2 linked regions of the Daphnia pulex genome follow. The protein of the gene in region 1 purifies or fractionates together with the protein of each later gene. This does not show direct contact. Links are inferred from orthologs where the notes say so. Each region holds a gene or a part of one and is shown in the gene's direction. Other genes may lie near its edges.

Region 1 (4,306 bases):
GTAAAGGCAATACAGCATAAATGTTTCCAGTGTGGAGTTGTTTGACGCAAACACCAGGAGACTGACAAAATCTGAGCCAAAATCAATGGATAGCCGAAGCTTTCTCGCAACGGAGGTGTCCATTGAACGCGCGTACACTGTCTCACCATAGAATTACATAAGTAATTTTGTTATGTCATACGTCGTACTTTTCAGAATTATACCTCTACGTGATTAAAAAAGAAAGCAGAAATGGCAATGATGCCTCCAAATATTGAACGACTTAGGTAGCAACCGTAAAGGAAAATTAGGGCGGCTGTGATCCCTGCACAGAGCCACACTCCATTAATGTAAAAATAGGAAGGATCACCTAAACCTTCACAGCTCCAAACCGCTGGTAGATCGTCTCCGCGATCAACTTGCCAACATTCTTTAGTTTTAATTCCGGCAGTATTTGTAAAGTGTATGAAACCCCTATATGCAGCTCCTAAAATTACCTGCAATGATTTCCAATAATATTTAGAAAGATAAATGAACAAGTTTTTAAATATCACATGTACCTCGGGATAGAGATTAAATCTCTGTAATGTGTTGATGGTTGACGGATACTCTGTTTTGTTGTCGTTCATTATACTGTGAAGTCCCAAGAAGAATGACGGTGCATTGACAATCCTTTTGTAATACGAGTAGTAGCTGCAAAAAAAGAATAAATAATTTGATGATAGGGATAGAAAATCAAGGAATAAAAATAGTAAATCTTACAAGCCCATCTCAGAACGGAAGGTCATTTCCCTCTCAAGCGTAGAGAGATGTGAGAAGTGTCGATCATTTTCAAACATTGTAGATACATGGTAAAAATTGAGGCAGCTACACACTAACGCTAAATATAGTACACGAGAGAAATTGTACGTCAGCAACTAAAACATATGTTGGAAATTTTTTAGGGGAGAAGTATAACTAACCAATGGACACAATTAGTGCGTACTGCGCATAATGGGTGGTTGTTGGTAAGGTTGCTCCATCATTCATGATTCTTCAAATTCCGAATTATTTCACCACGTGTTGCTTGTTTTTTCTTGTTTGTTTTTGATTGCTTAGAAAAAAAAACTAGTTAATGTCAGCTGGTTTGCGGCAGCTGTCTATCTTCTCGCCGTCGTCTGTGCCGCTGTTGCAACACTTAAAACTTTTGGCAGTACTAAAAAAGAATAACAGATGGCTAGCCTAATTTTGTTTGAATTGTAAGTAACATGAAATAAATTACTCCTGATTTGTTTTTTTAAATTTTCATTACGCAAGTGTGATACGTAATGCTATTCTTATCGATTGAAATCATCATTTTTGGGAATGTTAATTAAATTTATCGTCAATTGAAAAAGTGACTATAGTTGCAGTTTTACTTACTAGATGGCGGTAATGCATGATTCAGGTAGAGAAATTATATTTTCCTTTCCTGTAATGCAAAGTTCTCATAGTCACTGTGGCACAGTCAGTATTCCTGTCAAACCTTTTCACGACTCACGAGTGAACGTGTCACTCGTAATTCCACTCAACATTCCACGAAATCATTTCTTTTAACTTCTTTTAACTCTTTAGAATTTATTAACGAAGATTCCGATTCATTTTCATCAATTTTAATCGTAAGTACTAATTTCTTTTTTTATTCTGTTTTTGGTGCATATCTCAGTTTTGTCCGCGAATATTTAAATTGTCTGCTGGACCATGTCACTGCGTTTGCAACGGAATCATTCAGATTCCGTTGATTGGATTAAATTAACCTTTTATATTATGGGTGCTAAGTTAACTATTATAGGGCATGAGAAAGAATTCCAATAGCCTAGTTAGATTTTTTTTTTAAATGTTCACCCAGTTATTTGAGAGCATCACTGTATAATCAGTACACCGTTAGGGTAACTTTCTCCAGCTGCCCCGAGGTTATCGTTTCTTTCTCGTCAAACAGGTTTAGGCTTTAACATACGATTTCTACTTCCGTATGTCTTTTAAAACAGAAAATCTTTCTCTTAGATTATCAAACTGAATTATAGTTTTTAAGATCTTTTTGAGATAGAATAGAACTGAATCTGTTACAGTTGTTACACCGTTGCTTTGATGGTGTACCGACTGAATCTGACGTCTGCGTGAGCGTAGGAAAAAGAAGGGTGGGCGACAACCGATCAATACCTAGAAGACTCTCACCTTTGTTCGCGGTTGCGATTCGGCAAAATTAACTTTCCTCTTTTCCTTTTGAAGTCTAGACTATCTATACAGAATGTCTGCCCGAGCCATTTGGGAAGCAACGGGCAAGGACTTGATTAACCGGAATTTGAATTACTCCAACGGCGTGGCCAAGTGTCGTTTCGCTGTCTATGACCAAAGCGTCTCATGGAGCCAACTTGTCCAGCAGGAACCTTGGCTCGAAACCGAGGTGAGTGATTAGTTTCCTTTTTTGAAAAATATATAATAACAGTTCTTCGAATGAATGACATTTGTCCCTGCGTCCCGTTCCGAGTATTCTCAAGTAGGAAATGCCCGAATTGATAATAAATTTTTATTTTTTTATGCTTTTAAATCGTGTACAGAAACTGGTGGTGAAGCCGGATCAGCTCATAAAGCGACGTGGAAAATTGGGTCTCATCAAGGTCAATGTGGACTTTACTCAAGTCCAAGAATGGGTTAATGAAAGGATAGATAAAGACGTCCAGGTAATTTTGATTCTTTGAAATTTAATCTTGTATTTTTGTTTGTTTTATGTTTAAATATTTTTTTTTATGGAATGCCAGAAATGTTTGATAAATTGAATTAAATCTATTTATTCAGGTGGGCAAGGCAACTGGTAAACTGCGTCGTTTCATTATCGAACCGTTTATTGCACACAAAGACGTAAGCATATAGATAAGGAAACGTGCTCAATATGTTGTGAAATTATAATGCGTCTATAAAATAAAAACAGGAGGAGGAGGCATACGTTTGCGTTTACTCTGAACGCAACGGCGACGTCATTCTCTTTCACCACCAAGGAGGCGTGGATATTGGCGACGTGGACGAAAAAGCTTTGCGCCTGTCCGTGGAAATCGACAATAAACCCAGCCGGGAGGATATATTGAGCGGTTTGCTGGTCAACGTCAGCGACGATGCCAAAAAAGAGTGGGTTCAATTTGTCGAAAAATTTCAAGTTGCCAAGTTTCCTCCCTTTTGTTATCAGTCAAAGGACAAATGTTGATTGGCTGAATTTCGATTACCATTTCAGACGAGTGGCCGACTATATCGTTGCCCTCTACGATGTCTACGTCGATCTCCATTTCACCTACATGGAAATCAACCCGTTGGTGGTGACGGCGGAAGGCGGTGTCTTCATGCTGGATTTGGCGGCCAAAATCGATGCCACGGCCGATTTTCTCTGTCGCACCAAATGGGGAAGCATCGAATATCCGCCTCCGTTCGGCCGCGACGCCTATCCCGAGGAGGCCTATATCGCCGACCTGGATTCGAAAAGTGGCGCTTCGCTCAAGTTGACCATCTTGAACAGGGCTGGACGCATCTGGACCATGGTGGCCGGTGGAGGCGCTTCGGTCATTTATTCCGACACCATTTGCGATTTGGGCGGCGCTGCCGAACTGGCTAATTACGGCGAGTACTCGGGCGCCCCGTCTGAGCAGCAAACTTACGAGTATGCTAAAACCATTCTCAGTCTAATGACCCAAGATAAACATCCAGACGGAAAGGTATTGATCCAATGTTAGTTTTGACTGATTTTTGGGGGTTGCAACAATTAGGGGAAAAAGTCACGGGGTACTTTTGATGTGTCATTCTGACTCGGCGGATATACATTACCGCCGTTTCCGTTGTTATCACAGGACTTTTGGTGAAGTAATCTCGATTTCAATAGCGTTTTGATTTCGGCCTTTCGAAATGAAAAAAGTTCAAAGGTCGTTTCGTGGTTGTCCTTTTACAAAAAGACAACATTCGAAATAATACGCTGATTAGTGTCTTTTAAAACCTGATATCGAGTTATCTTTTTTTCTTTAATAAATCGCACATGGCGTGATCGTGAGGATTGCATCATCTTTTTTAAACCCCTGAATTTCAAATGTGACCTAAATGACTTAAAGAACGTCTCGTGTGAATTGATGGTAACCTGATAGTGCCGGTTTCTCTTGACTTTTTTAGGTGCTGATCATTGGAGGCGGAATCGCTAATTTCACTAACGTTGCGGCCACGTTTAAGGGCATCGTTAAGGCTCTGTTGCAGTACCAGACCAAATTGGTGGATCATAAGGTTTCCATCTTTGTCCGCCGAGCTGGACCCAACTACCAGGAGGGTCTTCGGTAAT
Region 2 (4,496 bases), on another chromosome or scaffold:
ATGAATTATTGATGAGAAAGCCTTCGTGATAATATGCAGAAAATGTTTCATTCTACATTGTTTTTCTTTCTATAGGTGGGCGTTTGCCATGTGCGGTTACTTTCAAGTACTTAATTACATCCAACCTCTGTGGGAAACAGTGGCTCCGTCAGGAACAAACAATATTTACAACGGCGCTGTAGAAGCCACGCATACGTTCCTCAGTAAAAGATATAAAGAAATGTGTATGATTCATAAATTGAAATTATAATCATGCTTTTTTTAATAGGTGCTCTCGCTACCATAGCTATTGGCTATGCGCCCGTCAATTGGTCAGTGTATGGTGAACCTGTAATAGCTGTGATATCATTATTTGAAGGTGCCATGTTATACTTAGCTGGCAGTTCTAATGAACTGTGGGTAGCGTACGTTACTTACATGGCCTTTTGCATAACGTATAGTGTTCTTATTACAATTGCAAGGTATGCATTTCATTGTATGAGATCTTTTCGGATTCTAATATTCAGTTGCTTTTTTAATATAGTTCGGAAGTAGCAAAAGGATTGAAACAGGAAAGCTATGGTCTGGTGTTTGGAATCAACACATTTCTCGCCCTGTTTTTCCAAACTATTCTAACTTTGATTGTAGCAGATAGTGCTGGATTGGCGCTCGAACCTCCGGACCAGGTATTATTAGAAAATTTTTCTTGGAAATTTAAGAATCTAATTAATAAATTTTGTAGTTTAAAGTGTACGGAGGCTATTATTTTGTCCTGGGTGTTGTGTTCATTTCCATGGCCGCCTATAATGCCGGACGTAGAAGTAATTGATTTGGCTAGAAAAACTAGCGCACTCGGTATTTATGATTTCGTTCTTCATGAACGTTACGCATCTTTCCAGTGATAGACAAATTGTTGGTATGTCAATGTTACTAGTCTAAAAAGTGAACCAGTGAAAAAATAAAAGTTTGGCACAAAGTATTTAATAAAAAATTCAAATGTTTTTATTTTAAAATTTTCTTCTTTTATTAGAAATGGCATTTATCCGCATTTATCCTTTTTTCTCCAAGCAATAAAAAAGCATTTGTATTATTATCGTATTTGTTTTTAAAATTAACTAAAAATCGATGACTTAAAGCAATAGCTCCGAGGAGGCGCAGACAGAAAAATAATAAACGAACATACAGCTACGCTTCAAATTTTTTCTTCAACAGGATGTTTCATTTCAAATTTCAAAAAATGCATTTCTTCGTTTGCTGAAAAATTCGTAAAAAATAATGAAGGGAGAGCATTAGCCGCTAGATGACGTCTGTTTTCATGGCGGCTTTAGTTGCTCATTTTAGAAGGCAGAAGAATAAATGTCTCAAGCAAGAAATAAATAATTGCCTTTCACATTAGTTTCAAACGGAAAATAAATGTATACATTAAATTATCCACGCTTCACTGATATGTATTTTTAATTGCACAAAGTGGCTATTAATGGTTCCATAATCTACCGCTACTATTATTGTAAGCTCTGCTGCTCTGGCCGTAGTTCTAGTAAGCTTTGAATTTCGGCGGACAGAAATCCAGAACCTTCCGTCGTCTGTATCGTGTGTAAGCCTTTTCGCGAAGTTTCTCGTGTCCCTCGCTCTCAGTATCGAAATCATTCCCCACTTGGAAACGTTTCATTGACAGTGTGCAGGCGTGTGAATTTACATCAACGTTTCATCCGTACCTTCTGATCGCGATTGTCTTGTTTTATCATGGCAAACAAGGTATGGAAATTAGTATTGTACTATAAAACTGAAAGAACTAGGGTTTTTGATCATTACATTTGTTCTATAAATTTAGGCAACTCAATTGAAAGATCAAGGAAATGCGGCCTTGTCGGCTGGTAAATTAGATGAAGCTGTAGCCCTTTACTCAGAAGCATTGGCTATAGACCCAGAAAATCATGTTCTGTACAGCAATCGGTCAGCTGCATATGCGAAAGCTGGAAAGTACCTGGAAGCTTTACAGGATGCTGAGAAGACTGTTTCATTAAAGCCTGATTGGGGTAAGGGTCATTCACGAAAAGGTGCTGCATTGGCTTATCTTGGCCGTGATGTTGAAGCTCAAAAAGCCTATGAGGAAGGACTCAAGTATGACCCAAACAATGAACAACTTAAAGAAGGTCTTCTTGAAGTGAAGAACAAGGTTGGATCACAAGGAGCAAAACTCATGAATCCGTTTGCTGGACCAGATGTCATGAACAAACTACAGAACAATCCAAAAACAAAAGCAATGTTTGAAGATCCAACTTATCGACAGTTGATCCAAGACCTTCAAAATAATCCAGGTGCGATGGCCACCAAATTGGGTGATCCAAGAGTTTTGGCCACCCTCAGTGTCTTGCTAGGAGTGGATTTGGAGGCTTCAAATGAAGGTATTATGTGAAAACAAAGTAGTGGACAATAGTAACTGAAAAGGAGATGTTTCTCAGGAGATGAACCAATGGATACCACAGAACCTTCACCACCACTTGATCCGAAAGAAGAGAAGAAAAAAAGGGAGGAAGAAGAGAGAAAGAGGGAGGAAAAAGCCAAATATGATGCTCTACCAGAAGAGAAGAAAAAGGTATGCCTAACATGTGTGATTTTCTCAGTTATGATAACAACAATTATATTTAATAGGCTCTTGATGAAAAAGAAAAGGGAAATGCAGCTTATAAGAAGAAAAATTTTGCTGCTGCAATAGAACACTACAACAAGGCTGTAGAGCTAGATCCAACTGACATGACTTATGTCACGAATTTGGCTGCTGTTTATTTTGAACAAAAGGATTACGAAAAATGTGTGGAACTTTGTAAACAAGCAATTGACATTGGCAGAGAAAATAGGGCCGACTTCAAGCTAATTGCCAAAGCTTATACGCGAATTGGCAACTCGTATAAAAAGCTAAAGGTATTTGACATTATTCAAACTATTACTGTACGTCTATTTAAAACACTCTCTTTAAGGACTTGGCAAATGCAAAATTACATTTCGAAAAATCACTCTCAGAGTTCCGCTCGCCAGAGACAAAAACATTGCTATCTGAAGTGGAAAGTTTGCTTCGTGAGGAACAACGCAAGGCATACATCAATCCGGAAATTGCAGAGCAAGAAAAGGAGAAAGGAAATGAATTTTTTCGTAAAGGTAAATCTCTTTTCCGGAAGGAGAAAGTAAACTCAGTTAATTTATTATTTGTTCTCTTGAACTTCCTTACATAGGTCAATACGCTGATGCATTAAAATGTTACTCGGAGGCGATAAAGCGTAACCCTGGCGACGCTAAAGTTTACAGTAATCGTGCTGCCTGCTATACAAAGCTGGCAGCTTTTGATTTAGGTTTGAAAGATTGTGATGTCTGTTTAGAGCTTGAACCATCATTTGGTAAGAAAATGTTTTGGTCTATAGCGCAGTCTGATATTTTTTAATGTCTTTTTAGTTAAGGGATGGATTAGGAAAGGAAAGATTCTCCAGGGAATGCAGCAATATAGTAAGGCTTCTACCGCTTTTCAGAAAGCTATGGAGCTTGATCCAAACGCCTCGGTAGTTTTATTTATTTTGGTTGGTTAAAGAAAAATCAACTCACTTTTTCTTGTGTTTTTATATTAGGAAGCGCTTGATGGCTACCGCGCATGCATGATGCAAACTAACTCAAATCCTGAGGAAGTGCGCAAAAGAGCAATGGCAGATCCAGAAGTCCAAGCTATATTGCGTGACCCTGCCATGCGTATGATTTTAGAACAAATGCAGAATGAACCTCGTGCTCTGCAAGAGTAAGTAGCGTATGTATGTTAAGAGTGATGCAAATATTAACAAATTGTTTATTCAATTTAGCCATCTAAAAAATCCTGCGATTGCTACTAAAATCCAGAAGCTGATTGAATCTGGACTGATTTCCATTCATTAATTAATTGTACCATGCTTACTTTTCTAAGAAATCAAGTGGAGTCAAAATTTTGATTGATATGATTGTCAATTCTTGTATTCTTTTTCATGAAATATAAAAGAAAAAGAATATTTGAAATGAAAAATTTAATTGTTTTACATGATTGTACTATTTTTCACAAAGCTCTCAAATAATGGGTTGTAGTACTATCATGTATGCACTGTAAATTACAACCAAACTTGGCTTTTGCCATTTATAGTTTTTAACTTGTCAATTGACAGTTTGTCAAAAAATAAAAGTCCAGCAGCTCTTTCTACTGTTTCTGGAGGTACTTGAAATACAGACAGTGGAGTTTTGTCATCTATAGGTTGATTTGGCATAACATAGGATTCCAAAGAAAGCTCTTGTTTCTGATTTTCTATGACTACGACTTTGAAGAAATGGGTAGGCACTGCAACATGATTCTTGCCAATTACCTGATATTTTACATACATTTTGCCATCATCTTCCTTCCTAAGTTAAGAAAATATACAATGATAATTATTATTTCCATTTGTTTGAGTAAGCATTCATGTAATAATCATCTACCTGGGCAGGTAGAGTGGTCCTAAAAACAAATTTGT

The links.
Region 2: the proteins of ATP-citrate synthase-like (region 1) and stress-induced-phosphoprotein 1-like fractionate together in Homo sapiens (co-fractionation; 3 studies listed by BioGRID, with this or other methods). This does not show direct contact. The link is inferred for Daphnia pulex from reciprocal best matches to the Homo sapiens genes ACLY and STIP1.

The regions. Positions count from the first base shown.
Region 1 is NC_060018.1:8,031,302-8,035,607, reverse strand, and holds the start of ATP-citrate synthase-like, read left to right. Parts: upstream 1-1,415; 5' UTR 1,416-1,616; intron 1,617-2,226; exon of another isoform or gene 2,227-2,231; 5' UTR 2,232-2,245; coding exon 2,246-2,401; intron 2,402-2,555; coding exon 2,556-2,678; intron 2,679-2,793; coding exon 2,794-2,856; intron 2,857-2,926; coding exon 2,927-3,120; intron 3,121-3,223; coding exon 3,224-3,698; intron 3,699-4,143; coding exon 4,144-4,301; intron 4,302-4,306. Other genes in the region: probable C-mannosyltransferase DPY19L1, read right to left, coding at 1-137, 204-476, 540-672, 742-859, 942-1,008. UniProt on the Homo sapiens protein: Catalyzes the cleavage of citrate into oxaloacetate and acetyl-CoA, the latter serving as common substrate in multiple biochemical reactions in protein, carbohydrate and lipid metabolism.
Region 2 is NC_060024.1:9,161,282-9,165,777, forward strand, and holds stress-induced-phosphoprotein 1-like, read left to right. Parts: upstream 1-1,512; 5' UTR 1,513-1,722; coding exon 1,723-1,734; intron 1,735-1,810; coding exon 1,811-2,384; intron 2,385-2,441; coding exon 2,442-2,575; intron 2,576-2,631; coding exon 2,632-2,901; intron 2,902-2,957; coding exon 2,958-3,135; intron 3,136-3,209; coding exon 3,210-3,371; intron 3,372-3,426; coding exon 3,427-3,530; intron 3,531-3,596; coding exon 3,597-3,760; intron 3,761-3,821; coding exon 3,822-3,894; 3' UTR 3,895-4,100; downstream 4,101-4,496. Other genes in the region: thiamine transporter 1-like, read left to right, coding at 76-203, 269-461, 524-665, 722-808; endonuclease G, mitochondrial-like, read right to left, coding at 4,101-4,386, 4,462-4,480. UniProt on the Homo sapiens protein: Acts as a co-chaperone for HSP90AA1. Mediates the association of the molecular chaperones HSPA8/HSC70 and HSP90.